Linked DNA regions of Arabidopsis thaliana. The protein of the gene in region 3 interacts with the protein of the main gene of each other region in a pairwise test. Each region holds a gene or a part of one and is shown on either strand. Other genes may lie near its edges.

What was found.
Region 1: the proteins of COL1 (region 3) and SPA4 interact in binary tests that used the Arabidopsis thaliana proteins (3 or more experiments, as listed by UniProt).
Region 2: the proteins of COL1 (region 3) and SPA3 interact in binary tests that used the Arabidopsis thaliana proteins (3 or more experiments, as listed by UniProt).

The regions. Positions count from the first base shown.
Region 1 is NC_003070.9:19,778,276-19,788,701, reverse strand, and holds SPA4 (SPA1-related 4), read right to left. Parts: upstream 5,518-10,426; 5' UTR 5,132-5,517; exon of another isoform or gene 5,019-5,131; 5' UTR 4,955-5,018; coding exon 4,334-4,954; intron 4,258-4,333; exon of another isoform or gene 4,247-4,257; coding exon 4,089-4,246; intron 3,993-4,088; coding exon 3,095-3,992; intron 3,010-3,094; coding exon 2,863-3,009; coding exon of another isoform or gene 2,838-2,862; intron 2,758-2,837; coding exon 2,446-2,757; intron 2,355-2,445; coding exon 2,295-2,354; intron 2,201-2,294; coding exon 2,012-2,200; 3' UTR 1,800-2,011; downstream 1-1,799. Other genes in the region: AT1G53100 (Core-2/I-branching beta-1,6-N-acetylglucosaminyltransferase family protein), read left to right, coding at 198-780, 858-933, 1,012-1,127, 1,216-1,712; AT1G53080 (Legume lectin family protein), read right to left, coding at 6,483-7,334; AT1G53070 (Legume lectin family protein), read right to left, coding at 9,513-10,331. UniProt on the Arabidopsis thaliana protein: Repressor of photomorphogenesis in the light. Probably part of the COP1/SPA E3 ubiquitin-protein ligase complex.
Region 2 is NC_003074.8:5,167,602-5,178,027, reverse strand, and holds SPA3 (SPA1-related 3), read left to right. Parts: upstream 1-4,922; 5' UTR 4,923-5,547; coding exon 5,548-6,255; intron 6,256-6,353; exon of another isoform or gene 6,354-6,384; coding exon 6,385-6,542; intron 6,543-6,646; coding exon 6,647-7,607; intron 7,608-7,691; coding exon 7,692-7,838; coding exon of another isoform or gene 7,839-7,853; exon of another isoform or gene 7,854-7,956; coding exon 7,957-8,268; intron 8,269-8,352; coding exon 8,353-8,412; intron 8,413-8,509; coding exon 8,510-8,701; 3' UTR 8,702-8,933; downstream 8,934-10,426. Other genes in the region: AT3G15351 (P53/DNA damage-regulated protein), read right to left, coding at 497-642, 735-1,002, 1,219-1,302; AT3G15356 (Legume lectin family protein), read left to right, coding at 2,610-3,425; AT3G15359 (uncharacterized protein), read right to left, coding at 4,247-4,435; AT3G15350 (Core-2/I-branching beta-1,6-N-acetylglucosaminyltransferase family protein), read right to left, coding at 9,146-9,651, 9,825-9,940, 10,022-10,097, 10,202-10,426. UniProt on the Arabidopsis thaliana protein: Repressor of photomorphogenesis in the light. Probably part of the COP1/SPA E3 ubiquitin-protein ligase complex.
Region 3 is NC_003076.8:5,173,376-5,183,801, forward strand, and holds COL1 (CONSTANS-like 1), read right to left. Parts: upstream 4,523-10,426; 5' UTR 4,099-4,522; coding exon 3,382-4,098; exon of another isoform or gene 3,273-3,381; coding exon 2,922-3,272; 3' UTR 2,716-2,921; downstream 1-2,715. Other genes in the region: AT5G15853 (uncharacterized protein), read left to right, coding at 4,732-4,932; PCME (prenylcysteine methylesterase), read right to left, coding at 5,301-5,462, 5,564-5,654, 5,731-5,874, 5,943-6,008, 6,098-6,235, 6,328-6,429, 6,526-6,600, 6,860-6,940 and 3 more; AT5G15870 (glycosyl hydrolase family 81 protein), read right to left, coding at 9,266-10,426. UniProt on the Arabidopsis thaliana protein: Putative transcription factor that may be involved in the light input to the circadian clock but does not affect flowering time.

The DNA.
Region 1 (10,426 bases), on a different chromosome or scaffold from region 3:
TAGTTGTCTGATTGATTAATTAACTCATAAATTCTGATCAGAGATGTTTTAGAGGACAAAAACATTCTCTGTTTCTGAAAATTAATGCACTTAAAGTTTATCTGAATCTTAATTTTGTTTAATAGGAATTAGTGTCTGATGATGCTAGTGGCCTAATTCGAGCTTGAGCTGAGGATTTTGATTCAGTTTTTGGTGTCATGCTTTTGTCTCAAGATCACAAAATTCTCTTCAATGGGGTACGTAAATATGTAATCATGGAGAAGAAATATGTATTTTCATTTGTTATCACATCTCTTGTCTGCGTTGTTCTCCTTGCAACTTCCTTCAACATTGGTTTAATGTCTTCACTTCGACCACCGATTAATGGAACTTTATCAAGTTTCCCCAAAAATGATTCGAACGTTGTAGGAAAACAACCTCGTGAAGACGACAAGCTCCCACGTTTCGCTTACCTTGTTTCAGGATCTAAAGGAGATCTTGAAAGCCTTTGGAGAACTCTTAGAGCATTGTACCATCCAAGAAACCAATACATTGTTCACTTGGATCTTGAATCACCGGTTGATGAGAGATCAGAGTTAGCTTCTCGCATTTCAAACGATCCTATGTATTCAAAAGCAGGAAATGTATATATGATAACTAAAGCTAATCTTGTGACTTATACCGGACCAACAATGGTGGCGAATACGCTTCACGCATGTGCGATTCTTCTTAAAAGAACCCCGGATTGGGATTGGTTTATCAATCTTAGTGCTTCGGATTATCCCCTCGTGACTCAAGATGGTAAATGCTTCAATCTTTTCCTTGTGTTCTTGATATTCCCCTTGTTAAGACTATCAAAAACTGTTCTATGTTTATAGATCTGATTCATACATTTTCGACATTGGACCGGAACCTTAACTTTATCGAGCACACAAGTTCCTTAGGCTGGAAATAGTAAGTTTTTTTTCTCTCATTTTCTGAATTCTTTTAGTGTTTCATTAGTTCTAAAGTTTCTTGTGTCTCACGGTGAAGCAAGAAGCGGGCAATGCCATTAATAATTGATCCTGGACTCTATATGTTAAACAAATCAAACGTTTTATTGGTTAGACCTAATCGAAGTTTACCTTCTGCTTTCAAGTTATTTACCGGTAAGTACTGTTCTTCTAATCCTGGTTTAAAAACATATTTTACTCTGTTCTTGTTAGCTTGAAACTTTTTTGTTTTGTGTAGGATCAGCTTGGATGGCTCTATCGCACGCATTCGTGGAGTATATCATATACGGTTGGGACAATTTACCAAGAACTTTACTCATGTACTACACCAATTTCGTTTCTTCTCCTGAAGGTTACTTCCATACAGTCATATGTAACGTGCCTGAGTTCTCCAAAACCGCGGTGAACCATGATCTTCACTACATCGCATGGGACAAGCCACCGAGGCAGCATCCTCGTATGTTGTCTCAAAGAGACATGGGAAAGATGATTTCGAGCGGATCTGCATTTGGTCGGAAGTTCAGAAGAAATGATACTGTTTTGGATAAGATTGATAAGGAACTGCTTATACGGATAAACGAAGACGGTTTTACTCCAGGCGGTTGGTGCGGTGGGAAACCAGAGTGCTCGGTTGTCGAAGATGTGGCTAGGATCAGGCCTAGCTCAGGGGCTGTGAGGCTCAAGGAGCTTGTAGATAGGTTAGTTACAGAGGCTAAATTAGGTAAGAATCAATGTGTATAAAGAATCAAGCAGCTTGGAGAGAATCTTGCAGTTCTATACACACCACAGCTTGATTGTATAATTCTTTTGAAGTAAATAATTATTACTTGTATGTTAAGTTGCCCACCTGTGTCATTAGGGTTTACAATAAGTACTATACAACAAATAGAAAGATATCATATATTTTTTCTATATACACAATTCTTTAGTAGCAACAATATTGTTTTCACTTTTCCTACTTTCTCTCCCAAAAATTGTTTCCTATACCAATCCAAACCCTGGAATATTACCATTTTGCTTCTGAGCCACTTTATATTGGTTCATACCATCTCCAAAATCTTGATATTGCCGGTGGAGTTTGCAGCAACTAAGGTCGACGACTGTCCCCGCCAGCAGACTGAGGATATGAACTGCGAGGCATCGTCTACTTCGAGTTCCGACACAGGGTCTATAGTTTTGAACTTGTACGACAAAACCGGCATTGGAAATGCCTTGTGGTACACAAAAACCTGTCCAGTGAAGCACACGAAATTCACGGTTTTTATTGACAAATGGGATCAACAGTTCTTCTTTTGTATATTTATGAAGTGAGAGTAGACATACCTCGTTAGTCTCAGAGCCTGTTGCTATATACCCGTCAGAGACTGATAATCCAACAAAGTTCTACACACAATGCAAGAACAGAAATGTATTTGTAATCTCATAAAGCAAACTTGAAATGAAGCAATAGAAACGAATCTCGAAAAAAATATACCTTAACATTAGTGTGTCCCATGAATGAGTGAAGAGGCGTTTCATTAATACCGGAAATAGACATTGATAAGTCCCATAGCTTCAGCGTGTTATCCGTCGAAGAAGAAACAAGTGTTGATGAATCTACAAATCTAACATAACTCACGGTCTTGTGGTGACCAATCATTGTGCAAAGAGGAAGCTTGGGGTTCCTTAGATCATAGTAGTAAACTTTGTGATCTGCTGAGCCAAATGCTAAAGACCGACCCGTCTCTGATGGAAACTGAACACAACATATGTTTGCCTTTGTCTTGATGGTTCCAATACTAACCCCCTGAAACAGAGGAAAACGAACTCAACCGTTAAAAACACATCCCTCAAAAGAACTATTCTCGCATTTCCGAGCATAAATACGTTTTGGTTTAGTTTCGAAGTTTGCCTGATTGATACTCCAGAGCTTAACCGAACCATCATCACTACCACTAGCTAACAATGTTGGATCTGCTGATGAATAATCGATGGACCATACACGCTTCTCATGCTCCTTCATCTCTGTAACCAACTGGTTTCTTGCAACATCCCAAACCTATGAAAATATTAGCCTTAGTTATAAGATTTTTTTTCATACTTTTCATTGATTAATAAGGTTGAGAGTTTTCTTCTGAACTTACTTGAACCACGCCTTCAAAGTTACTTGATGCGACTTGGCTCTTAATGTAACTGTTCCAACATATACCACTAAGCTTAGACCGGCTAGCAAGTTCCACAACAGGGTAATGAATGTCCCGGCCATCTTTTATTATCGACTCGCATTCGAATATCTTGATCTTTTTGTTGACGCCTGCCGTGGCGAAAAACTCTCCATCACGATCAAACCCAATTGCGCAAACAAGGTTAGACGAGTTCAACAAGTCTCCTTGCTTCAAATCTGCTTTCACTCTTAGCTTACTAAAAGACAAATACTTGCACAAACCCTCGAGGAATGGATCGATCCACCCGCCTTGTCTAGAATCATTGATAGGATCTTTTGATGGTTGGCTCATTGAACTCTTTTCTGAACTTCTACCGTTACAACTCAATGCCGAATAATATCTAGCCAACGGTTTTTCAGCAGCAGTAGCAGCCTTGATTTGTCTGTATCGTGTTGCAAAGTAGACTGATTCCAGTTTCTTCAAATTTCTCATTAATCTAGAGCTTTCAAGAAGTGTACTTTCTAGAGTATCATCAAGCTTAGATTCCTCATCAATGCTATTATCATCATTTTCTTCCTCTGCTGCAGTGGTCTCAGCTCCTTGTCTAATCCGTTTTCTTGAGGCTAAGAACGAACGGACATCTCTCCCTTTTTGCTGTAAAACCAACTGTCGCTTTACGACTTGATCGATATCAGAAGAGAGAAGCGATATTGTATCCTGCAATTTGTCTGCAGCTTCTTGTTTCCTCTGTTGAATCAGAAACAAGAACTCGAGTAATAACTCTTGTTCCTCGATTCTATCCCGTAGCTCCATTGCAGCTTCACGTTCTTCCAAATTCTCTCTAGGTTCGTTGATAAACTCACTTTGTAGCAACTCACTGCAAAAGTAAAGACAAAGGAGACAATACTCTTAATTAAAGGACAAAACTTTTCCAATTGAAACTAAAAACATCAAAGAGAGAATCAATCATCACCTCATCGATGGTCGACAGCTAGGCTCAGGATGCAGTAACCACAAGCAAAAGGAAGCTTCTTTAGGCCAATTGAGTAATATCTGAGGGGGAAGAACACGATGTCTTAAACTAGACATAGTTCTTGACTTCTCTTCTCTTGAGGAGACAGGGCAGAATAGCTGCACAAAGACTAACATTCATCAAATCAGTTTTCTCAAGAAAACAAAGCAGTTAAGAACAAAAATCAAATCTTCTTACGCACAAACCTCAAAGAGAAGAACACCAAGACGGTAAATATCAGAAGCACAATTACACAGAGAACCATTATCTTCTTCATGACTTGTATACCAACTCATCTCCATTGCTAATATCTGTTTCATAGGGAAAGGTTGCTTCTTTACTTCCTCTTGTTGTTTGCTTCGTCTCTCTGATAGAATCTCCTCTTGTCTCGAGCTACCAATCTCTCGAGACTTTGTTGTTGCATCCTCATCAGACCCGGAATCCGAACAAGAAGCGGATTCGATAAACGAAACATTGTTAAACGAAGACATAACGAAACAAGAAGGCCTAACATTATGAACAACAATGCCTTGAGAGTGAGCTGCATTAACAATCTCAACAATCTGTCTGAAAACATGAAAACACTCAAAGGCATCAACGGATCGGTCTGGATTGTCTAACCACTGACGCAAGCTAACATCCTCACATTCCAAAGCTCTGACAATAGAGTCATCATCAAGTCCTCCCAAGTTAGCTTCTTTATGTGAACCAAGTAAGCTTCTGACATAATCAATGTGAGACAAAGACTTAGAACCATCTGTACAAAACTCTGAAACACCAGAGGTGTTGTTTAATCCTCTGGAACTAGATTCTGAAGAACCCTTCATTGATTACCAAACAAACTCCTCTGGATTCTGCAATACTTCATTTCATGATCCCAGCCCAAAAGCCCTAAGTTAGAATCGAAATAAAGTAAAGAAATTTAGAACGAAAGTTAAGATTTTTAAAAGACCCTTTGACAGAAAACACCAAAACCAGAAAATATATTCGAATAAAAATGCAACCTTTGATTACATAAAGAGACAAACACGAGGAAGCTTCTTGACCACTAAACTCTCTCTATATATAAAAGAAAAGCGAAGAAGAAGATAAGAAGAAGAAGAAGTACTTGAGAGACTAAGAGGCACCGAAGAAACGATCCTTTTTTGAGAACCACACATCGCAAAAACTGAGTTCGTAGAAAAGCAATAATCAGATTCATAAAAATTAAATTCTCGGCTAAGAGAAATCTATTTTGGGCCTACGATTTTTACTTCACAGTGAGGGTTTTATTTTTCGCTTTTTGATAATCTTCACTTCTCTTCTCTTTCCACGCAAGCAACGTGGTTAAACGACGACCTAGGAATCAAAAGAACGTAAAGCTAAAACCTTTTTCGTATTTTGGTTTTGGGCCATATATGTAAATATAAGTAAACCATGAGGTCAAAGTGAATTTTGTTCTTTTTTGAAGTGACCAATTTTCTTCAAGAGGAATGTTTAAATTATGTTGTGGTCCAAATAATATAACACATTTTTGTAAGGCTATAATAGGAATTTAAAATGACCAAAATAATTTTTGAATAACATATTTGAAGCCTTATTACAAGAGAAAGTACCTAAAGAAATGATTGTACTTTGAAAATCTTGAATGAGAAAAACAAAATTGTTTGTATTATTGGTTTTGGTGAAAGGAAAGAGAATGTATTGGTGGGAGCATTTAATAACCAGAGGGGAGTTTCCATTTCCATGGAATGGATTGAGACAAGTCGACAACGTAAGTGGTAAATTACAAAATCACATGCGTCCGGACACGCCACGTGTTTTTTCTTTTTCTATGATTAGATTACATACACAAATTTATCAATGAAAAAAAAAAAAAAACTCTGTTTTTTTATTGAAACCAAACCATCTGAAATGTAATGCAAGATTTTTGTAGAAAATGATACGACCTAGAAACTGTGATAGCTTTAACCTTATATATCGTGGATTTGTCAATATTTTAGTTTTAAATTTTAGTAATATCTTTTAAAAACTTATGTTAAGAAACTTGTGACATGAACAAACTGATTCAATTTGATGAGGACGATGACCACAATACCACGTGGTTGTGCTTTGGCTTTTAACGAGTCTTTATTTATACAAAATCAATGATGCATGTCCAAGAAGATCATTGACGGTGATGGTCCGGGACAGTGTGCATGTTTTCTTCTCAGGATTTTTTTTAATGGTTTAATCGATCAAAGTAATTTTAAATTTGATTTTGACATTTTATACGTACTCTCTTTTTAACCACTTTTGAATAAAAATCAAGAGAAAATACATAATTGTTAAACCGGTAACAAACATAAATCAAACCAAACAAGACCAAAATCAGAACTAATTGTTTTTGGCGGTGTTCTCAAAACTCCAGCTCCAAATGTCGTGACGCTCGACGCCACGACCCATCGAACCGGAAAAGCCGGTATACATAGTCTCAAGAACCACCTCCGAGAGATCAACTTGTGTTTCGATCAATGGCCTCTTCGGTTTCTTTAAATGCGCAGGTGCAAGCCAAACAATGACTTTACTGTTCTTATACTCAATCCAAGCTTTGTAGTTGTCTCCGCTACTAAGCTTCACTTCCTTAAACAACCATTGATTCTTCCCTCTAGTTCTTGTCTGAATCCAATACCCAGCTTTCTCAGAAACCTTTGAGTTAACAGAGTTAATATTAACACCAACATGATTATCATTAATATCACCAAAACGTTTGTCTTGGAAAACATCGAATTCGACCGCAAAGAGATGGTTATTAGGATTGCCATTGGTTGTGAGGTTAACTAGACCGAGGAAGCCGCGGGTTGAGTCTTGGTCGTACTCGTAGGCTACGGTTGGGACCACGATGAAGGCGATACCATGACCAGGGTTAGGGTTTGACCGTCGAGGAGTGATGGAGAAAGTGAAAGATGTTTTGAAAGAGTAAACAGAAGAAGATGTGTTGTTGGAAGATTTGAATGGGATTGGATCTGTGTAGAGACCTTGACCATGTGAGAATGGAATGTTGTCACGGGTCATGGAGAGAGCTCCGGACCGGCTCATGCCATCGGTTGCTGGTCCTAGCTCGGCGTACCCGATGAAGATTAGATTTGTTCCGTCGAAACGGTTGAAGTTGAATTTGACGGCGGAAATGGTTTTAGAGCTTAACAAAGATATGAACAGAACAAAAATACAGAGTTTGTGGATCTGCATTATGCGTTTGTTGTTTACGTGTGTATGTTTTTGTTTTTGGTGTTATGGAAGTGGAAGTAGTGCTGTAATATATAGTGTGACGAAAGCCAGTGAACTTCAACTATGACTTTTCAAACATATATAGAGGTCAAATATGATAGCGCCAACTGGGCACACGAAAAAGACTATTTTTTAGTGATAAACCATTGATTTCTGAATTCAAGATGGATGGAAAAAAAAAACTAAAGAACAAAACAATTATTATGAATCGAAAGGATTGTTAACTCTCTCTCACGACTTTACACATTAGCACATAGAGTTTGCCACATAAACTTCATAAAATAAGTAATAAATAATTAGTAATAAATAATTAGTAATAATTTAACATAACAACTAAAATAAGAGGATATAATTAATCAGAACTTGAACCATCACAGTTTTTATATTTTTTTTAATTCAATATATCCTCTTTAATTTTGAGATCTACTTGAGTGGTTAAAGTGATCATAAAATCCAAACATGTTACACATATTCCTTGCCTAAAAATTAGACGATTATTATGAAAGAAACTAAATGAATATGCAGATTAAATATATCTAAGCTTTTCGAGAATTATGCTAAGAAACAAGTATTTTGAAAGATGTTTGAGGAGCTATCCTTATAACTAATATGTAAGATATAAGATTATGACAAGAACTTAACTAAACTTTCCAAGAACATCAAGTTAAATATGATTAGATTTAATATGCAAAGACATGGTTAATAAAGACATGTTATATTTTTAGTATAAGAAACAAATTTTCTAAAATTTCACCGTCCCACAATCTAAACATATAACAAAAAAAACAAGGATATATAAATTTTAAAAAAACTGAGAATCTAGAACAACAATAAAAAAAAACAACTCAAGCATATTCGTTTTTCATATGAACTAATATAGTTGGACTTTTCAAAAACAATTACAAATCATATTTATGTTTCAAAACCGATGCATTCAACTTTACTTTATGTTATATGAACAAACATTATATAAAACAATTTGTAAATAGTAATACATAAACCCGCACGTAGTGCGGGTACTCATCTAGTTTATCATTAAAGTCGAATAAACACAATAACTCATAAGAAAATTTATCTAATCCTTACTACTAATTATATTTCCACTAGAGCCGGTCTTGATATTTAAGGAGTCCAAACGCAAGAAAAGATTGTTCTGGTATTTTTTGGACTAGTTATCAAAGAAATGACAAAACATTTTAAAAAATTAGAGTTCATGAAGGCTTTGTTATATTGCAAAGGGTCCATTTTTAGATTATTGTTTTGTTGATGAGGCCGAAAACTTTGGAGGTCCTAGATCAATGATTCCTTTCGCTTGTCGCATGGTCACCTTTGCCTAGCACGATCCTCCACCAAAAACACGTCAAATTCTATTCTAGCAGATTGATGATTGTAGTCAAATCACATCGTCGTAGGTAAAATTATGAGATGCTGTCTGTCCAAGCCTCGACAACGAGGACACACTCTTCAATTGGATAAAGCAAAAACACTAAAAAAATATCTCACTGAAAGAGGGAGAATACGAAATAGATATGAGAAAGAGCGTATATACAACCACGATATATAATCTCAAAGAGCATTCATCTCTATCACACTTTTACAACATAATCTGAAAGAAACGAGACAACTTTCCGACAATTCATCAAGTCCTCCTTTCCTTCGTTCCTAGATCTCTCATTTTCCAAGTCGCATCATGGAGTGTTATAATCCACTTGGCATGTAACATTTCCTCTTTAAAAGTCTTCCACAAAACAACATAGTTGGTAGTAGACTCTTTTTTTCCGGTAAACATGTTAAGATGTTTTAGACTATTTTGATAGTCCCATAACTACGATCTCCACATTTCTCCTATAAATCTGATTCTCATCTAGTCATGTTGGCCAATTTTGATAGAATGTAAAATCATTTTTTCTTTTTTTGTCAACGAGAAATGTAATTTAAAAGTGACTAACATAAAAGATTAGGAACGAAACGTCCTTGATTTCTACTAATCTGACAACAATAATACATCAAATTGTCGGTAAGACATAAAATGAGCAATTATTTCACTTCAATTATCACAAGCTGAAGGCACACCAGGGTAAACCAGAAACATAAACCAAAAGAAAACCGATGATCTCGAACCAAACCAAACCTGTTTTCTTAATTCTGGAAAGTCCAGTCCCAAATCTCGTGACGCTCGACACCACGACCCATCGAACCAGCAAAACCGGTATACATTACCTCGTGTATGACCTTGGAAAGATCGAATTTTGCTTCAATCAATGGCCGGTTCGGTTTCTTCAAATGCGCTAAACCAATCGTAACAGAGACTACTTTATAATTGTTGTTGTACTCAATCCAAGCCTTGTATCTATCTCCACTACTTAGCTTCAAATCCTTAAATAACCAACCGCTTCTTGTCATAACCCAATAACCGGATTTCACAGAAACCACCGAATCAACCGAATTAATATCGATTCCGACATGGTTATCGTTCATGTCGCCAAGAGATTTGTCTTGAAAGACATCGAACTCAACGGCAAAGAGGTGGTTATTAGGATTACCGTTATTGGTTCGGTTCAGAAGACTGAGATAGCCTAAACCGGAACCGGCGTCGTTTTGGTTACTTGGGACGACGATGAAAGCAAGGCCATGACCTTGATTAGGGTTTGTTTTAGGAGTAATGGAGAAAGTGAAAGAGGTTTTAAAAGGGTAAAGAGCTGAAGCATTAGGCTTGAAAGTGATTGGAGTGGTGAAAATGGCTCGACCATGAGAGAAAGGAATGTTGTCTCGAGTCAATGCGATGGCTCCGGACCGGCTCTTGCCATCAGTGTCAGGACCATACTCAGCGTCTCCATGGAATGATATTGGATCGGTGCCGTTACCAAAGTAATCGAATTTGAATTTGTAAGCAGTGGTGACTTGAGAGGTGAAGATAGCTAAGAACAGAGTGGTGAAACAGAGTATTTGGATCTTCATTTTTTAGTTCTGTTTTTGGGAATTTGGGAAGTGAAAGTGGTGAACTTTAAAAGATGTGAGTGTTGAAAAGATCGAGAAGACTTAAAATAATTGAG
Region 2 (10,426 bases), on a different chromosome or scaffold from region 3:
TTAAGCTTTTGCAAGAGCAAATGTTTTGAATAGAGAGATTATATGATTTCAGGGATTTTGAATTCCACAAGAGAACTTCTGGGAATTGTTTATGGATAAACCCTAATTTTGTCTTGTTGCAAAAGAAGATATTTGACTTGATCTCGGTCCTCTTTTGGCAGCTTCTCCTCTTTCTTCAACAGAAATTCAAACCCACCGTATAAAGATTGGTTTCCGATTATAAGTGGGAGAGATTATAAACAAATTTATAGTTGAGAGAAACAATTGTCAATATAATTTAAAACAAATTTATACCAATAATATCATCTGTTTAGCAAACTTATCCAAGACTTTTGGTAAAAATATTAATCAGTGGAAAGCAATCATCAAAAGACACAAGGAAAGTTTTGTGATTTTAATTAATATTAAGGATAATGACTTTTCCCATCATACAAGAGAATCAATGAACATATCCTTTTTGTGACAAACTAACATTGTTCTACTTCTTCTACTTAACTTAAGGTTTGTCCTCTAAAGCCACCAACGATCTGATAACGCCAGGAGAAATACCATCAGCAAGAGCCCCTAGTTCCGATATAAACAGAGCTTTTTCCTTCACTAAGCTCTGTAACTTCTTCGATTCAAACTCCATTTTCTCTTCATCTTCACATAGTAACAAGTAGGCCGTTTTCTCATGAGGAAACTGCACTAGTCTCTAAATGAGAGTAGCAAATAAATGTAAACAAAGATGATACCTTTCTCTAGCATTGTATGCACAGCATGAAACGGAATTGCAGCAAAAAGATCAGCTCCTGGGAGCATCATCCAGGTGGGTTCACTAGAGTCATGGGATCCACATGTGGAGCAAACTTCTTGGACCAAAGGTTTCGTTGAGCTCCCATGGATATCCTTCATCATAGAATCAAATGGAGACATAACACTAGTCTTTGTTGTCCGAGCTCTCTTCCTTAGTGCTGTAAGAGCCTCTCGGTTTGCATTCCTCTCCTTGTCATTCTCCACCATCTATTACACATATTACAAGCTCCATTTTGGTTAAAAAAACTTATTGACCTAACAACAATACATATCATATAATATCTGTTTTCTCACAAGACAAAATAAGTTGCAGACAACAATAGATTGAAAAATCTTGTGCTTTCCTCAATCTGTCAATCACATATAAATTACGAAGTAGTGAATATTTCCAACTAGATACTACCAAAGCAGATTCCCGAGTACCTGATTTCGAGCTAATAGAAACTCATCAGCTTCAGCTTCAATTTTGTCCAATAGTGCAGCAAACTTCTTTGGATCCAAATCCATCTCTAGTCTAACAGATTCCAACAAACAAATAGGCTCAGAATCAAATAAAGCATTATTGGTTGAAGGGGAAAAAGGAAAAGATTTGATAAGTGGTATAGTCAATCTTCCTAATCCTGTACATCTCCATGTTAACCTACATCTTCATGCACAAATCAAACCACAACGAAGCCAGAAAAAAAGTGAAGCTATGGATACTTTGTTTGCTTAAGCTCAATTTCAAAGACTCTAATTAGTACCATAAGCCACTCCATGTTTTCGTTGTATGTATGTACCAACATCATACTAAACCTTTCACCATCGTTTCAGCTTCTATTCTATAGAGTGATTATTGAATTCCCAAATTTTTCAATATTGATACGATTAATGATTTCATCCAATTTCAGAGAAACGATTATAGAAATTAACAATTCTGATAAACCCTAAATGGTTAAAACCCTGAATTCCGAAACCCTAAAACCTAATTCACAAAATCTCTCGTTCCTACGATGCAATAACGAAGGCAACCACAACACCAACAAAAGTGTAAAACGATTCTTTAATTCATTTTTGCAGCATCTTAACAAGAGGGCGAGACGAAGTAACTCAGAAACAAAATAATAACCTTTAAATGGATTTACAGACGAAGATTTAATAAGCAGAGGTCCGGTGAGAATCTCGGTGACGCAATGAGAGGGACGAAGTTTATTAACAATATAAATTACATTAAACCCCCGAGTTGAGTTATGGGCTAGGTATTTGGGCTATAAAAGGCCCGGCCCACTAATCATACCATTGAAAGGTGCGATCGTTCCCGCCGTCGTATCGTAGCACAAGAAAATGTAAATTTTATTTATTTGGTATTTAAAAATATACCTATTTAATAATTTGAGATGATAAAGTCATAAAACAGAGTAACTTTTTTGCATCCAAAAACGAGTTCGTGATATCAACTAAGCTTGTCAATGTGTTTTTTTGTACACGAGACATTAAAATTCACAATGTTTCGTAGAGAAGGGGACAAGAAACACATAATATAATCAACCAATTATTATTACTCGAATCCATTATAATATTTTTTCAAAAGGATAAGATTTTGTTCATTGAAAGACATCTGGGTGGGTCCATTTCACTGCTAAGCCCCTTGTGGTGGCGTCTCCAACGCATCCACTTGGCATTGTTTATTTGACCACTTTTTCGAATCATAGATTTTGAATATTCAAGCTCGATGGCTTATGTTAACTCTTATATAAACATATTATCAACCTCCAAATATTTTCATCATCAATCTTCTCCACACTTGAATCACAAACAACAACAAAAGAAACACAATGCAGATTCACAAACTCTGTTTTCTTGCTCTGTTCTTAGCTAATGCAGCTTTTGCCGTCAAATTCAACTTCGATTCCTTCGATGGCAGCAACTTGTTATTCCTTGGAGACGCTGAGCTTGGTCCTTCCTCTGATGGCGTAAGCCGATCCGGAGCTCTTTCCATGACCCGAGACGAAACCCCATTCTCTCATGGTCAGGGTCTTTACATCAATCCAATCCAATTCAAATCTTCAAACACTTCTTCTCCTTTTGATTTTAAAACTTCTTTCACTTTCTCCATCACTCCTCGCACCAAACCTAATTCTGGTCAAGGCCTTGCCTTCGTCATTGTCCCAGCCGCTGATAACTCCGGCGCTTCCGGCGGAGGATATCTCGGAATCCTCAACAAAACCAACGATGGAAAGTCAGAAAACAACCTCATATTTATCGAATTCGACACGTTTAAGAACAATGAGTCTAATGACATTAGTGGTAACCATGTCGGAATCAACATCAACTCGATGACTTCTCTTGTCGCTGAGAAAGCTGGTTATTGGGTTCAGACATTAGTCGGAAAAAGAAAAGTTTGGTCGTTTAAAGATGTGAATCTTAGCAGTGGAGAGAGGTTCAAGGCTTGGATCGAGTTCAGAAGCAAAGACTCTAGGAATACCATTACCATCGCCCCTGAAAACGTTAAGAAACCGAAGAGGCCTTTGATCCAAGGTTCGAGAGTACTCAATGATGTTCTTCTTCAAAACATGTACGCTGGTTTTGCTGGTTCCATGGGACGTGCCGGTGAGCGTCACGATGTTTGGAGCTGGTCGTTTGAAAACTAAGTAAACCGGTTCGGTTCGGTTCAGTTTGGCTAGGTATCGTTTGCTTTGTTTTTGTAATTGTTGTAGAGTGAATAATTAAGGTATGAATAAAATAAGCCGACCTGTGGCTTACTCTGCATTGTATTTTCATATTTGTGTAATCAGTCTGAATAATTCAGAGGTTTTCAATAAAATAAACTTCCTTTCCAAATTCTTTTTTTTTAGTAACTGGATTTGCATGATTTGCAAGGTAGGAGATTGTATTAAGCTCTATACAACATCAGTAGCTCTAGACGTCGTCTTATTGTATTTGTCATGGATAGTTGGATACATACATGTTTCTATCGATTGAAGATGATAAAATAAAAGGAGCAAATTATTGCATCCACGCAATGAAAACGGTTTATATTTAAATAAACGGAGGATAATTTAGCTTTGTTTGTTTTCTTCACGGAATAAAATATAAAATATATCTTCCCATGCAGAAGATTATAAACGTGGAATGTCTTAGATTTATACACGAAATATGAATTAAACAAATGTTTCATTTAAGATAGGGGACACGAATTACAAGTAGTAGAATCGATTATTATTCGACTTCAATAATCAAGAATATCGTTTTTTTATCCCCAATCGGATAGATAAACACACTAGATAGGTCAATTTTGTTGGAGACTCTGGTGGCGTTTGTAACGCACCCACTTGGCGTTATTGAAATGACGCTTCGAATGAAATAATTGTTCTGCCGTAAAACAATTTCAAACTCGATGTCTTACAGTGACGAAATGACGATTCACAAAACTCTGTAATCTTGCTTTTTGACACCAATTCTTCTCTCAAATTTAACTTCGAAACCATGCCTGGATAGTCTCAACAAAACCGACAATGGCATTCTCAAAACCCAACATCTTAGCTGTCAAATATGATCGCATTGGAGACATGTTGGTCTGACATTTAGTTTTGTTATGGAGATCGCTCTTAAGTTTTTTCTTGAAAACATGTCCACGGTCCACCGGTTTTGCTAGTATCATGGCACATTTGAGTTGGTCGTTCGAGAAACAGCGCCAAGAACAGCTAAACCTAAACCGGTCCAATCCAGTTTAGGTATTGTCTCAGAGACTGGTAACCGGAGCCAAATCTTTATTTAGTTTTAAATATGCCTTATTGTTTTGCTTTTGCATTTGTTAATTGGGTTTATAGGAGACTCAAGAGAGGACTACATGCTTTGAACTTTAGTGATTCACTCCTCTTAAAAGGATCTGGTCTTTATTTTTGTTTTTGTTTTCATAAGAACCTCAATTATGTACCCAGAATTAGTTGCTGTTCTGTTGGGAAGAAATAAAGGAGCCTAAAACAAAAAAAAATGTTTCTTAATTCCAGAGCAAAAGTTTGAAGATTTGACCCTCAATGTTTGTCTAAATTTATACATTTGGCACAAAAAAAGGTCATTCCTTTTACGTTCTGTTATTTGTGAGGTCGAAGATTAACCACGTTGCTTGCGTGTAAAGAGAGGGTGGGTGATTATCAATATTGAAAAAAAAACTGAACTGAGAGATATATTATATAAATATATTAAAGAACGATTTCGACAGTGAATCGTTTCTTTCAGCAGTCGTTTTTTTGTTTTTATTCTAAAAGGCCGAGAATTTATGAGGCTGAGAGAGAGAGCCTTCTTCTGCTTTTTTTTCCGAGTTTAAAACTGTGTTTGGTGTTTGTTTGTTGTGTGGCTCTGTTTCAATCTCGTAAAGATTATTTCTGGGTGGCCTCTCTCCTTTAGATACTTCTTATCTTCTCCCTCTCACTAATTTTGCGGTAAAGAAGCTTCCTTTCTTTTTTTTGGCTCTTTACATGATCAAAAGATTTGCATTTTTTCTTGTATATATTTTTATCTTTTGAGTGTTGTTGTTCTTAAATGGGTCTCCTAGGTTCTTGAGTTTTCTTCTGTTTATAGCCTAGGGTTTGTTTCTTGAGTGGGATCACTTAAAAAAGGGGCTTTACATTGTGAGAGTCTAAGTTCTTGGCGAATGTGTAACGATCTTTAAGCAATGAGCTGTTGAATCCGAAATGATTCCAGTTAGAGTTGGGAATACAGAGAAGTCATTGGTTACGTGTTGGTTTCTGGTTAGCTTTTGGTGGATGTTAAATGGAAGGTTCTTCAAATTCTAACTCTAGGGGATTCAATACCTCTGGTGTTTCAGATAGGAACACTGAGTTCTTACCTGTTGAGAGACTCACTACTCGTTCCAAGCCTTCCTCTCATGTTGATGAGTATGTCAGAAGCTTGTTTGGTAGTACTAGCACACACAAGTCTGGTGAAGATGATTCTTTAGGGATTGATCCTTTTGTTAGATCCTTGGAATGGGGTGATGTTAGTTTGAGACAGTGGCTGGATAAACCTGAACGATCTGTTGATGTTTTCGAGTGCTTGCACGTTTTCAGACAAATTGTTGAGATTGTGAATGCGGCTCACTCTCAAGGCATTGTTGTTCATAATGTCAGGCCATCATGTTTTGTCATGTCTTCGTTTAACCATGTTTCGTTCATTGAATCTGCTTCTTGTTCGGACTCTGGCTCTGATTCCTTGGAGGATGGTCCAATTAGCCAGAAGGAAATCGGTAGCTCGAGAAGAGAGGAAGCTGTATCGAAAGCTATTGCAATAGAAGAGAAAGGAGTCTACAATAAGTTGTTGGAGAGAAAAATCGAGAAACTAGAGGAAGAAAAAACCCAACCTTTTCCGATGAAACATATATTAGCAATGGAGACAAGTTGGTACACAAGCCCTGAAGAGGATTTTGGTTCTTCAAGTACTTGTGCTTCAGATGTTTACCGCCTTGGCGTTCTTCTTTTCGAGGTTTGTGATAAAGAAAGAAACATTGTTTCTAACAAATTAGTAACTGCTTTTGGATTCAAAGTTTCTGTTTTTGTTTTGCGTGTTTATTTTCTTGAAAAGGTGATGAGATGAAAGTTAGTCCCTTTGCAGCTATTTTGCCCTGTACCTTCAAGAGAAGAGAAGTCTAGAACTATGTCTAGTCTTAGACATCGCGTTCTTCCGCCTCAGATATTGCTCAAATGTCCAAAAGAAGCTTCTTTCTGCTTGTGGTTACTGCATCCTGAGCCAACTTGTCGACCATCAATGAGGTTTACATATTGTCTTATACTTCATGTTCTTAGGTTGAGCATTGTTAGTCTCTGTCATCTTTTACTACATGGAACTAATGGGGAATTTGTCTTTTATGGTGCAGTGACTTGCTGCAAAGCGAGTTTATAACTGAACCTAGAGATAATTTGGAAGAACGTGAAGCAGCAATCGAGCTTCGGGACAGAATCGAGGAACAGGAGTCGTTACTCGAGTTCTTGTTACTGATTCAACAGAGGAAGCAAGAATCTGCGTATAGATTGCAGGATACTGTTTCACTTCTTTCTTCTGACATTGAGCAAGTTGTAAAGAGACAGTTAATTTTGAAGAAAAGGGGAAGCTCACTCTCTGATTTCAGTAAAGATGATCATCAATATACCTCTGGTCAGCCATTGATGAGTTTCCAGGCAAACGAGGAGCCATCAGCATTCTTGGCCTCAAGAAAACGGGTTAGACAAGGGATTCTGGCATTGGAAAACGGTGTTGAAGTTGATGAAGAGAGTCAAGGAAGCACACTTCTTGAAAGCTCCCGGTTGATGAGAAACTTCAAGAAACTAGAATCGGTCTACTTTCTGACAAGGCGCAGGCAAATGAAGGCTGCTGCTTCAGGGAAATCATTAACTAGACATTCGCCGTTAAGTAGTGAAAATGGAAGAGGTTCTATGATTGTCTCAGAGAAAAGTTCAGTAAGCAACCCGGTGGCACCCAAAGCTTTCTTCAATAATGACTCGAGACAAGGGGGGTGGATAGATCCTTTCCTTGAGGGTTTGTGCAGATATTTATCATTCAGTCAGCTAAGAGTGAAAGCTGATTTGAAACAAGGAGATTTGTTGAACTCTTCTAACCTCGTTTGCGCTCTTGCGTTTGACCGAGAAGGAGAATTATTCGCCACTGCGGGAGTCAACAAGAAAATCAAGATATTCGAATGTAACTCCATAGTAAACGATAACCGGGATATTCACTATCCGGTGGTGGAATTGGCTGGTCGGTCAAAGCTAAGTAGTTTATGTTGGAACAGCTACATAAAGAGCCAAATTGCATCAAGTAACTTTGATGGTGTTGTTCAGGTTAGTTTTACATTCAGCTCTAGCGTTATTAAAAACTTCCAGTTTCATAAAACCAATTTGGGATACATATGTTTTTGTTTTCAGATATGGGATGTTGCAAGAAGCCAGTTGGTTACAGAGATGAAGGAGCACAAGAAGCGAGTATGGTCCATCGATATTTCATCAGCAGACCCGACTTTGCTGGCTAGCGGAAGCGATGATGGAACCGTTAAGCTCTGGAGTATCAATCAGGCAATTCTAATTTGAAATGTCGGCTATTGAAAACTGAAACTGATTTCTACAATAATGCAAACATCTTCATTCTCAGAATGTATGATTAAGAGTTTGTTTTTCTTGGAAATGTTTTCAGGGAGTTAGCATTGGGACCATCAAGACAAAGGCCAATGTATGCTGTGTCCAGTTTCCATCAGACTCCGGACGGTCTCTAGCATTTGGTTCTGCAGATCATAAAGTGTATTACTACGATCTTCGAAACCCCAAGATTCCTCTGTGCACAATGATTGGTCATAGCAAGACAGTGAGTTATGTCAAGTTTGTAGATTCATCCACTCTTGTGTCCTCTTCTACTGATAACACACTGAAGCTTTGGGACTTGTCGATGTCTGCTTCTGGGATTAATGAATCCCCTCTTCACTCATTCACTGGACACACTAATTTAAAGGTAACATTTTACCCTGAAATATGCTTTCAAGACTCTCTTCGGTCTCCGGTTTCTGAGATGTAATGTTCTTGTGATGTGTTGCAGAACTTTGTTGGCTTATCGGTCTCTGATGGGTATATAGCAACAGGCTCAGAGACTAACGAGGTAAAGGCTTGATACAGAAAGAAAAATGAACTTTCTGACAGATTGTCTCCTAAAAACTTGATTATCTGAGCTTCTTGTTGTTGTGAATCTATTACAGGTTTTCGTGTACCACAAGGCATTCCCAATGCCAGTGATGTCGTACATGTTCAACAACACTGACTCTATGTCTGGTCTCGAAGTGGACGATGCATCACAGTTCATATCTTCAATCTGCTGGCGAGGACAGTCGTCTACGTTAGTCGCTGCTAACTCCAATGGCAACATAAAAATTCTGGAGATGATGACTTGAGCCTCTCATAGATCTCTTGTTCTTCTTCTCCGCAAGAGATATGCTCTGCTGGAGTGATTGATATAGGGTAAACCATTTTTACCAAAAAAAAAAAAAGATAGGAAAGTGGAAACATTGTGTATAGAATTTCTATTGAGAAAAAAAAAAGAAGAGAGGATACAAATATTGGATCTTTGTATTTGTATATTCTGTTATAACTGAAAACATCTCAATAAAAAAAGGTTATAATTTTATTGGATTTTGAAGGAGATGACTTCAAACAAACAAAAATGAATCCCAGTAGGTCGTGGCATTACAAGGCATCTCTACTCAATGCAAACAATGTCTAATAGTCTTATCTAAAGCCTGCAACTGCAAGATTCTCTATATGTTGTATAAATATATATATCATGACAGTCGCTCTCCATTACTTCGATAATGGTTCTTTTTTTCTTCGAATTCTTTCTATTTACACTGACTAACTCCTGTATTAGCTTCGTTGACTAACCTGGTCACAAGTCCTTGAAGCCTCTGAGCTCCAAAGCTAGGAACAATCTTAGCCACATTACCGACCCTGGAGCATTTTGGTTTCCCACTGCACCATCCACCAGGAGTAAAACTATCTTTATCATTCCTCCGTTTAAGTAATTCCTTATCGATCTTATTAAGTACTTCATCATCTCTTCTGAATTTCCTAGCAAACGCAGCACCGCTCCATATCATCGGCATTGTGTCGTTGAGTGACAACACGTGTGGGTGCTGCTGCGGCGGATTGTCCCAGGAAATGTAGTGTAGGTCATGGTTTACTGCAGTTTTTGCAAACTCAGGCACGTTGCAAATCACGGTCTGGAAGTAACCTTCGGGCGATGAAACGAAGTTGGTGTAATACATTAGGAGAGTTCGTGGTAAATTGTCCCATCCCCATATGCAATACTCTACAAACGGGCGTGATAGAGCCATCCAAGCTGATCCTGTGACAACAACAGTAACGAAAAAATATTTCAAGCTTTGATGCATATGACTAGAGTTTTGGTCTTATAGATATACAACAGCACCGAGAATAATGCTTCAAGATTTGAATGGTGAGAAGAAGTTTTGATCCAATGTACATTCAAATGCAGTTTAGAGGGATTAGATGACTGACCAGTGAATAACTTAAAGGCAGTTGGCAAACTTCGGCGAGGTGTGACCCAGTAAATATCAGATTTGTTCAACAAGTAGAGTCCAGGATCAATCATTAATGGCTGTGCTCGCTTCTCCCTTCACAAGGAAACAACAACTCAGTCCACTAGAACATAAGACTAAACCAAATAGGAAACTCAAGAACGTGAATATGCTCACTCTTTCCATCCCAGTTGACTTGTGTGTTCGATAAAGTTGAGGTTCCGGTCCAATGTTGAAAACGTATGAAGCAGATCTTCAAACACACAGAGATTATTGACAGTAAGTTAATCAAAGACAAGACTGAAGAAATATCTTGATGCAAAACTAATAAGAAAGTGAGATCAAAGCTTTTTATACCATCTTGGGTCACCAGAGGATAATCTGAAGCACTAAGGTTAATAAACCAATCCCAGTTCGCATTTCTCTTGAGAAGAACAGCACAAGCGTGAAGAGTATTTGCCACCATCGTTGGTCCTTTATATGTCACAAGGTTAGCCTTGGTTATCATATATACATTCCCGGTTTTAGAGTACATAGGATCGTTATTAATCCGAGAGGCCAGCTCTAATCTCTCATTCACAG
Region 3 (10,426 bases):
TTATAATGTTTAATCTGGTTCATAAAGTCATGGTAATGAGAATCATATCGGAAAAGTGACATGAAAAACATAGAGACGGTGGATTTTCTAGGATCAAACTCGAATCCGCCAAGTAGTCTTGAGACTACAAATTAGAATTTACCTGACGCACAAGTTAAAACTTAAAAGGCATTTTGGAGTCCACATGAGCAATAATTAGATTTATCATATATAGTATGTAGAAATTTGCACTTGGTAACCATTATAGTAAGTAGTTACAAAACATGACTCATGAGTGTTGTCACATCTCTGTAATTTGGGTTTATGATGATACTCTATACTATTTATTGTAGCTTTATTAGATCTCAACCTGTGGAAGTAATCTAATACAAACGACACTTGTATGGAATTTTCAGGACATGTTTCTAAGATCACAGAGGTAATTGTGAAGTTTTCTGCTACACTCATTTACTAGTCCACATGATCCATAGATGCAATTTAACCATCTTCACTCTATTTGGTGACCCATTCATGTGTTTAGCATCGTGGGTTTTCCTGTACTAATAACCATTAGTACTTGGAGTTGCCTTGTTGGTGTTATGCTCATAATGTTTACTATGTGGAAGCTACAGGATACGATACTCTCTAGGTTTGAGGACTAGCTCCAGTTACGCTTTTGGGTCCAGTGAATGTATGATACCCATTATGTGGTCCAAAAAGAATGAGATTTGACGGACGCTCTAGTGGCCAAATTCATATGGCTACCTTCACTCTATGCCTTAAGAGCTGAAAAGTGAGTGTTTTTTTTTTGTATAAAATGCTGGTCCTAGGATACACTTTTCGCATCTCTTCCTCTTTCATATTTGCTTACACCGCACTTCTCTTTCCCATTTTGAACTTTAAACTTTGAAAAGTTTTTTTTTGCTTGGTAATTGGAACTTAACATACAAGTTCTTGTTATTTACTGGTTTTACGATGAATGTAATGGCATTTAGAATTGTTATGAAATGGTTATATGATCATTGAATTCTAAAGAAAAGATTCTAGGTTCTTTAGTAAGCATTTTTGGAGATCTTTATCCTGCCAAGTTGGATAAGTTGAGGCATCTTTGGCTTTTAGTGCTTTGGTGATGAAATTTTTTGGAGATTGTAACGTGGTTCGAGTTCATGAAGAGTAAATTGTGTATTGGCCTTTTCACTTGTAGCTCAAGAAAAAAGTAGTTTTGCTTATTATTGCTCGTTGACAGTCTCTAATTAAGTTTATTGTTGTAGCGGTTTGGAACTTCTCTCACATGTGTAGGCCTTCGGATAACTGTTACGAGTAATAGATCATATGTAACAATATCCTCAAAGTTGCATCGAGATTTTCAAGAAAACACTATTGCTTATTTGTTTTCATTCTTTATCAGGTTTCCGTGGTTTCGAATACTTTGCTTCTTTCAGATTAACGAAAACCCTATTTAGTTGCAAAGACTGAGAAGAGAATAAGAGTCGAGGGACCATATAAAGCTTGTAATTGTACGTTTATGCGGATTCTCCACTTTCCATGGCTGTGAGAAACTATCTGAGGAAAAGTGCAGTGACCTTTGGCAAAAGGTAATCACTTTTATGCACTTTCACGTGCTAGCTCGAATCCACACCAAATAGTAACATTCTATTGGCTCTGAAACTCATAGTGCTCCAAGTGGTTGTCATTGCATTTTAAAAATTCCTGACAAGAAATTTAGTAGAAACTTTGCTACTTCAAGTTTCCTTCTTTATGATATGCTAGCTCGTATTATATGCAACATGGGATATCTTTGTTTTGCTTGTGTGGCTTATAAGTTTATGTTGCATGATCAAAACAGATCACTGAATAAATTTTCTGGTGGTCTGAGAACTCGCTGCAGTGAATGAATGAGATCCATGTAAGTGGCCCCAAAAGAACATAATTTACAACACTCTGGTAGGTAAATTCATGTGGATACTAAAACTGACTCATTTATGGCTAAAAAGTATTGATTTGGTACATGAATTCATCAGCTTAACCGTTGAAGTGGGAAGCTATCCTAGTGGTAAATAAGTTGATCTCTGGCCCTTTCCAGGTGGCAAAAAGTGAAGGCTTTACAGTGTCACCCTTTTTCTTTTGGTTGCGTCGTTATTCTTTAGTGCCAGTATATACCTTGGAAAAAGTGAGCTATTATTCTAAAAGATAGACCAAGAAATAGATTTCTCACACTGAATATCTTTGTTCATTTGGATGGTCCATAGGCATTGACATATTCTGCTAGTAGTGGTTGTGAGTGATAGAATCTTGTTATCCGAGACAACCTCGTGGGAATGGATTTAGCACCAATGCTAATCACTAATCAGTACAAGAATATGCGTTGATGTAATTGTACCTATTAGCATTGTTCACTCAGGATTCTTGGTTATTTGTTACCTGACTATTCAGTGTGTGATTTTATTGGAGTTTTACATGTTTACACTTGTCTCTGTAATCTACTTTTGGTATAAAATCATATTGAGTACAACTTTCTTTTCTCAGGGATGTGCGAAATTGTCTTTGGGGCGGCATAAGTGGAATCATTTATCTTCTACGTGATAAAGTGATGTGGAAAGTGTCACCAAGAAAGGAATCATTAACTTTGAACTTAGGCAAGGTGAGTTACGTGTTGACTGTTCTTGGTACAGCTAGCTATACTAATGCATATCTCTTTGTAGCATCAGTTTGAATTTAGACTGTAGGGCAGTATTTCATAGATAAGAGGACTTCTACCAAGTGGGCAAAATTTGTATTAACTTACAGCAGCTAAGTATGAGTGTATATCTAATTAACTCGTACTAGTTAGGCAAAACTAGTAAACTACAGACCCTATATGCATAAAACCGTGGTAATAACTTGCAGGAATTTCAAACCAGAAGTAATTTACAAGCATGCAGTCTAGTTTTGCCATAGCAGCATCAGAATGATGGAACAATTCCATATCCGGTGTCAAATGTTATCATTGTGGAGAAAGCTTGGTTTGCCTCTTCATCGACATCTTTCTTCTTTGCAAACCGGCCCTTGATCCGTGGTCTTTTCTCTGCATACGCTTTCCTTGAAGCATATCTTATCGTCTTCTCAAATTTCCTCATCTTCTTCTTCTCTCTGTATCTCAGGACTCTAGCTTCTCTGTCCCTTGGACTGAGCATCTGAGCTGGAGGGTAAGGTGGTTGGTCTGTTACCGCTTTGGGCGATCTTGGGTTTGATACTGTTGCGTCACTCGTTGTTGACTCCGGCACAACTCCCAGGTCCATAGATGAAACATTCACCTAATGACAGTAACAAAGACATTCTTAGAAATTTACTTCATGGATTTGTGTGAAAGAAGCAGCATGCTGGTCATAGTAACGGATCTGAATTAAATATATGAAAGCTTACCATATGACTGAGGGAACCATTGGAGCTTCGAAGAGCTCCCCAGGAGCCACAGTTGATACTCAGCTGAAAGTTCTGTTGCTCTTGGTACATGCCCTTTGATACTTCAATTTGAAGTGGAACAACTCCATCTTCCCCATAGCTCCTCTGAGGTACGTTGCAGTCTAGTTGATACTGATTGGATTGATCTGTGAATTGCTTATCACTCGAACTATAATCAACAAGGTTCAGAAACTCATCCCCAATCGAGAAGCCATTGTTGTTACCACTGTTTTTCCCTGAATTAGGCAACAACCATGAAGCCGCCTCTGCTTCATCTTCATCCTCTTCTTCTTGACCAAGCACAAGTCTGTTCTCTGGATCTGTCACTGTTGTCTCACATGAATGGTTAGTGGCCGTGGAACTGTAAGAGTACTCAGAAATGGGCAGAATTGGAACTCGTTGATGGCGTCTAGCAAGTGGGTTTGCGGAATGAATCTCTGAATCACAGGTTGTGCATAGAGATGCAGCATCTGCCTTGCAGAAAAAGGCAGCCGGGGCTCGCTCACATGATTGACAGACTCGAACACGTTCATGGCGGGAAGCAAGACGATTGGCAGCATGAACTTGAGCATCACAACTGGAGCACAAGTAGGCAGAATCAGCCCGGCAGTACACGGTGCAGGCGGCTGATCGGCATGTATCACAGGCTTGTGCCCAGTTACTCTCTACTTTCAACATACTAACCGCAGATGTTGTAGTTGTTTGATGGTGAGTGAGATCGTATGTAAAGGCAGCAGGGGACTAAGAAGGCTATATTAGTTGTTGAATGGAAATGGAAAGGAAGGATAGAATTCTGAGGGCTGGACACGTGGCGAGAAGTTTGTGGGTTTGATGTTGAGTGATCATCTTGTGGCTGGCTGAGTTTTTGAGAAGGGGTCCAGTGCAGAGATGCTTACAGCTTTGGAATCATCAACCAGCACGAAATGTGAAAGAAAGAAAAAAACTAATTGTCTTCTTATATCTTTGCAATGGCACCAATAGTTACTACTTTTTCTCTCTTTCTTCCTCAATAAGTGTAAACACCTCTTCCTATGTAATCTTCTATAGGACCCATCCACATGTTACCTAGGTTCTGAAACGTGCAACTTCTAACTATTTTTGTATCATCTACTACTATTTTGGTAAAGCTGGAAACTTTAGTAGCTCTTTGGCTTGACCATTAGCCTAATGTTTATCTTGATTCTTAACTTTTGCCATGTTCTAACTGTTCAGGTTTCTCTCATCGTCTCATGATTTCAATTATAAAAATTAAATGATCACTGTTTAGCATTGTTAAAAAGATTATGACTCTTAACCATTTGTTATCTTCGAATGATGCTAGGTGTCTTTTTTGGTGATATGTTGGAGATAATAGATATGGCATGTCCTAACTTTGTTTCCTTCCACATCAAGTCGGTCAAGCTGATTTGGCCAACGGTGGAGATCCAAGGAGCCAATTGGAATCTGCCAAGTCGCTACGAGTCTCTAGAGATTAGGAGCCACAAGTTGAAGCAAATGGTGGGTCCAAATTAAGGTGAATAACGATAGTTATATCAACATCACCTGTGGTCTGTTTATACAAGTCCAATTTGCTTATGATCACCATCATATTTCATAGTTACAAAACATGTATAAGTCTATCAAGTGTTTGTCACATCTCAATCACCTTTTTGAGAATATGATAAAACTCGATATTATCTTTACTAGCTTTTATTAGATTTCAAACTTGTGGAAGTAATCATATTCATGTGTTCAAATCTACATGGGTCAAATAAATTTGGTGGAGCAACAAAGTTTGTTTTTATTTACATGATGTTCTACTGATGCAATTAAAAACACAGCAACTAACAAAGGTAAAAACTGAGGATCAACAAACAAAGCTTGTTTTCCTTTCTTGGCAGTCAGAAAGGGCTAATCTCACGAGCCAGTTTCAGTAACAACTCTGGTACAAGACGCTTTCTGGGAGGAGCCAACGAGTCTTTGGTCAGCCCATCATTGTCCTCCGCATGTATCACAGAGACTATGTCATCAAAGAGTTCGTCTTTACCTCCTCGTAAGGGATCCTATAAACAATACTCTCATGAGTTTTATTGTACTCACACTGAGCTAAGTGTTTGTGTGTGTGACACAATGTAAGGTAAGTTGACTGATTTATGTGGCTTACCTGAAGAAATAAGTCAGTATGTGTCTTTCCGCTGTATAAAACAAGCTCGGCTTTTGCTCCAACAGCTTGCAGAGCGTCTGTAAAAGTTTTGCTGCAAACGAGGTGGTTTTAGTATCCCAAAAGGTTTCATCAGTAATGTATCACTTCAAGAAGATGATCATATATACCTTTCATCGCATGGTATGGAATAATCTGAGGATCCGTGGAAAAGTATAATAGGAGGTAAAAGAGAAGCAGCTTTTCCAACAACTGGGTCTTTCAGTCTTACTTCCGGAGAGAATTTCTCAAAGGACTCTTCTCCTTCCATTATGCTGCAAGTTGGAGTTGAACATTAGATCTGATCAGACTGCGTTTAGGATTTGGTTAACCAAGCATTTACCTTAGGAAAATCGAGCGATACAGACCCCGATTATGGAAGTGATCAACCAACTTGTATAGATTGTACCTATTGAAGTTCAAAATGATAAGCAGATCAATTGCTGTAGACCAAAAAGCACATAGAAGCCAACGGGAATCCAAAAGCTTAGAAGATACCCTCCAGATAATCCAAAATAAGCTTTTATCTGGGACACTGTCCAGGAGATGCTCTCTCCTTTTAATTCTTTAGTAGCTTGTTCCAATAGAGCACAAGCGGCTATATGGGCACCAGCTGATTGCCCCATCAGGTAGATCCTAGAGAGACAAGCAGATACATGCAGTTTAATAGCCGAGAGACCAATTGGAAGATCAAATGGTAAATAAAAACAAAGCCAATGAGATGAAACCTGTTGGGGTCACCTCCAAATGCAGAGATGTTATTGCAGACAAATGAGATTCCTTGAGAAGCATCAGTCACCATATCACTAATTGTTCCCTGAGGAAAGTTCCTATACCATAAAGAACGGATTGCTTGGTAAATGCATGAAAGTTCTTCCTATATTCATAAAAGACGACTAGTTTTTTGAATTGTGTAATTTGTTTACCTGTAGTCAAGGCATGCTACAATGATATCTCTTTCTGCTAGCTGCATTCCCAAGAGCGAGCCCCAAGCTTTGTACCTAAATATCAGTACAAGATTAGCAAACATGAACTTATTAACAAGCAACCAGCTAGTACAAGAAGATGAAACTTGAGTGAGTCAGTGAGATAAGAATACAGAGCCCATCATGATCTTTACTTTTTTCTTTTTGTAACTCAAACATCAACAAAAGAACAGTGAAGGGGAAAACTTCTATAAGTGGGACACGAGAAATTGTAAAACAAACAAATTTCAACATTATGCAGAAGAGAATGCTGTAAATCTGATGTGCAACCCACCCAATAATCCAAGCTCCACCCGTCACAAAAACCACAACCGGCTTCAAGCCATCGTTGTTGCTTGGCAAGTACAGATCCAGCCTATCAAATCACCGTTCATACATCAATAATCTCAAGACAAAGGTGATGTGATAAAAGCAGGCATTCAACATACCACTTAAGGCCGATGTGAAAGGAGAAGGTAAGATTCTATTCAGTTCACACACAAACCTGTTCCTTGGTTGATCTCCATACACTATACTCCTCCGGACTTGCTTTGAGAAAAAATAACTATATGCAACTGCACAAGATAATACAAACTTGAGACGAGGAATCAAAGACTAATTTTCCAATTAAAACAACATCTTAATCAAAAGGAAAAATCCTTTCTATGAATTTATTTATCAGCAAAGAAAAAAAAAAAAAAATCAAACCTTGAAGAAAGCCAGGCATAAGAAGCATAGCATAACATGTAAGGGCAAGTAATTTTGTCATCCATCGATAGCCTACCCTGAACAAAACTTAACAATTAGATCAATCCTTGCTCAACTGGAAATATAAAAAGAAGAAGTTAAACAAGAGCAAAACAACAGCACATGGAGTAACTTTCATAATTAGAGTAAAGTTCCAAAATAAAAGACAGAGAACTTTTATATATCATTGGATTCTTTGCAGAGCAAGGCAAAGCCAGCTAATATCTACACGAATTACCTCCCTAAGCGTAATCATCAATATACCTAAATCCAAAAACAGGGACAATCGAGATCAGTACCCGAGGTATCGAAGAAGCTTGAAGCTAAGTCCAGTAATTAGATACGTTTCAGCTGCCGCGTGGCCGATATCGCGACCGAACGATTGCTGCCGGAAAATCCGACGAGGTCCTTCGTCAACCGGCGACTTCCCGGAAACTCGACGACGTAACGGTTCACCGTTAAGAAGAGTCGTTCTATCGGAGTCCTCATCGGGTAGAACTTCCTCGATCTCCGATACCGTCGAGGTCATCGGCCAGCATCGCTGCTCCGGCTGCTGAGTCTGAAGAGGCGAATGCATCTTTTCCGCCGTGAAATAGTGGATCTCGAATTCCAAGATTCTTCGTGTTGCTCTTCTCTTTTGAATTTCAAACTCTTTTTGTTATCTTCGCTTTTGTGCGCTTTCCATTTCCTTCTACACGAGGAATGTAGTAAAGTAGTGTGTAGATATAACCAAAAGTTTGTACAAGACGACGACGTTCTTAGCTCTTATTGATGACGTTTGATCATGTAATGATGTGTGATTAAAGAGAATCAAATGTCAGACAGTAATGAAATTATTCGCAAAATATTGATTATTCTAAAATGTTTGTTAGTCATTTCATTTGTGATTGGATGGAGTAGTGTGACGACTTTGGAAGCTAGTATTAGCAAATCATGGGCTTTACCACGTTCGGAAAATGCTAAAACTCGTGGGCCCAAAGTGTGACGAATATTTCCGAATCTAAGAGAAAGTTCACGAATCACGATCCACCAACCACTACAACCATACCACTGGTTTTATTTTATACGAGCATCACAGACAGACGTATTCGATACTTCGATATTACCAGTGACCAAAACAAAACAAATCTATATTTGGGTAAACAAAAGATAAACCGGAGTGGAGCCGAGCCACCTTATCCAAACTTGCAGCCACGTCTATTCCATCATTTCATCAGAAACAAAATCCACACAAAAAACATATTTTCTTGAAACGAAAAAAAAAACTTATTACTCGATGATCATGAAGCACTAGCTTATCCACAAAAAAACCAACTTGATCCCAACTAAAAATAGGAAAAGACTTTGTTTTGGTCATCGACTATTATATATAGAGTCCAATCACAATCTATCTTGTTCAGATTTTGTTTGTGGCCATATTCTTTGATCTCTTTTTTGAAATCTTCAAAAGCATTAAAAACACCATGACGTCTAGATTTGTGCTTCCATGTACTACTCTCTACGTTCTTTCGGTAACACTTATCTTATCATTATATATCCCTCTCGCATCTGCGAAACGATCATTAGAAGAAGAAGAATCAATCATATGCCCTTATAACGACAAGGGATGTCTATTATATCTGAATGAGTTTGCAATGGAACATATCAACAACCATAATGATTATGAAGCAGCCTTAGCTTCTCTGGAGAAGGAGTTTCAAGATCATGACAGAATTCACTTGATACACAAACCATACATGCACATGACTGATTCTTCCCTTTATAATACTTTAGACATATAGAATTCTGTATATATGTGGATATTCTCATAGAGAGATCATTGGTGTAATTAAGAAGAAAGGATTTGAAAAGATCATCGAATCATTTCAATTATATGAAGCTTCATTATATAAAACAAGCTAAAATTAACATTGATTAATAACAAACCAAAACGCAAACAACTTTTTATTAAAGCTTAATGACAATAATGACCAAAGGAACAATACTTCCCGCCACCGCCATGACCACCATAACCACCTTCATCGTCTTCTTCATAATCATCATCATCATCATTGTTTCTACTATGAACCCACCACAACAGATTACTTAAAGAGTTCCCATCATCAAACCCATTTAATCCTTTAATCTTCTCCATTGCTCCATCTTTGTCGTACATACTTTCCAAAGCATACACAAATCCTTTCCACCCTTCTCCGACGCTGTCTCTAGCCAAAGCAGGCATTGTCCAATTCACGAGCTGTTTCACGAATGTCACGTCCGAGAACAGAACTTCTGATACCGGAAGTAACGGTAATAACTGTATCCCAAGGCGACATTCTTTCCACTCTTTAGGCGCGAACCATAAGCCACTGTCTCTCTTTGTTGACCATAACACTCCAACCACACGATTCTCCGATGTGAAATCTTGCGGGTAAATAGCGTCGTCTTCTTTCACCTGCCACCACATTTTCGCCGCGTGAATCTCCAGCGTCAGAACCATCGAAGCAGCCGCCACCAAATGTGTATCCCCATAAGCTAGCCCCAACAAAGCAGCGGAGTAATACGCATTGACAGCCTCGCTTGTACTCTCTTGATTCCTCCCGTCAGCGAACTCCGTTAACCCTCCAGCCCAAGAATGAAGCTTGAAAAGATCAAAGCATCTCAAACGCGGGTAATTCGAATTCGACTTGGCTCCTTTCTTCCCCAACGTCAAGTAATCCGCCATTAAAGTATACGCTTGAGGTCTGTATCTCTTCCCCCATAAAGGATCAATCTTTGCAAGCACAGCAATCGCATAAACAAAGTAACCTAAATGATAATGATGATCATTGTAAATCCCAAACCCAAAATCTGCTCCTGAATCTCTAGATCCTAGCTTAGTAATCACACCTCCCCATTTTGGATCATACAAGAAACCATTTGGTCCGAAACTTCCATTAAGCCACGGCTCGATCATGTTCTTCAAGTAAGTTCTAATCTTTGGAATAACATCCAGATAACAAACTTCTTCAGCTATTAAAGCTAACCTCGCCGCCCTCGCGATCAATTTCGCGTAGAAATACGAAGAGTTGGTGACCTCAGCTGATGAATCTAAAGCGTTAACGTCTTTGATTAGAGCAGAGATGATCTCTTGGTG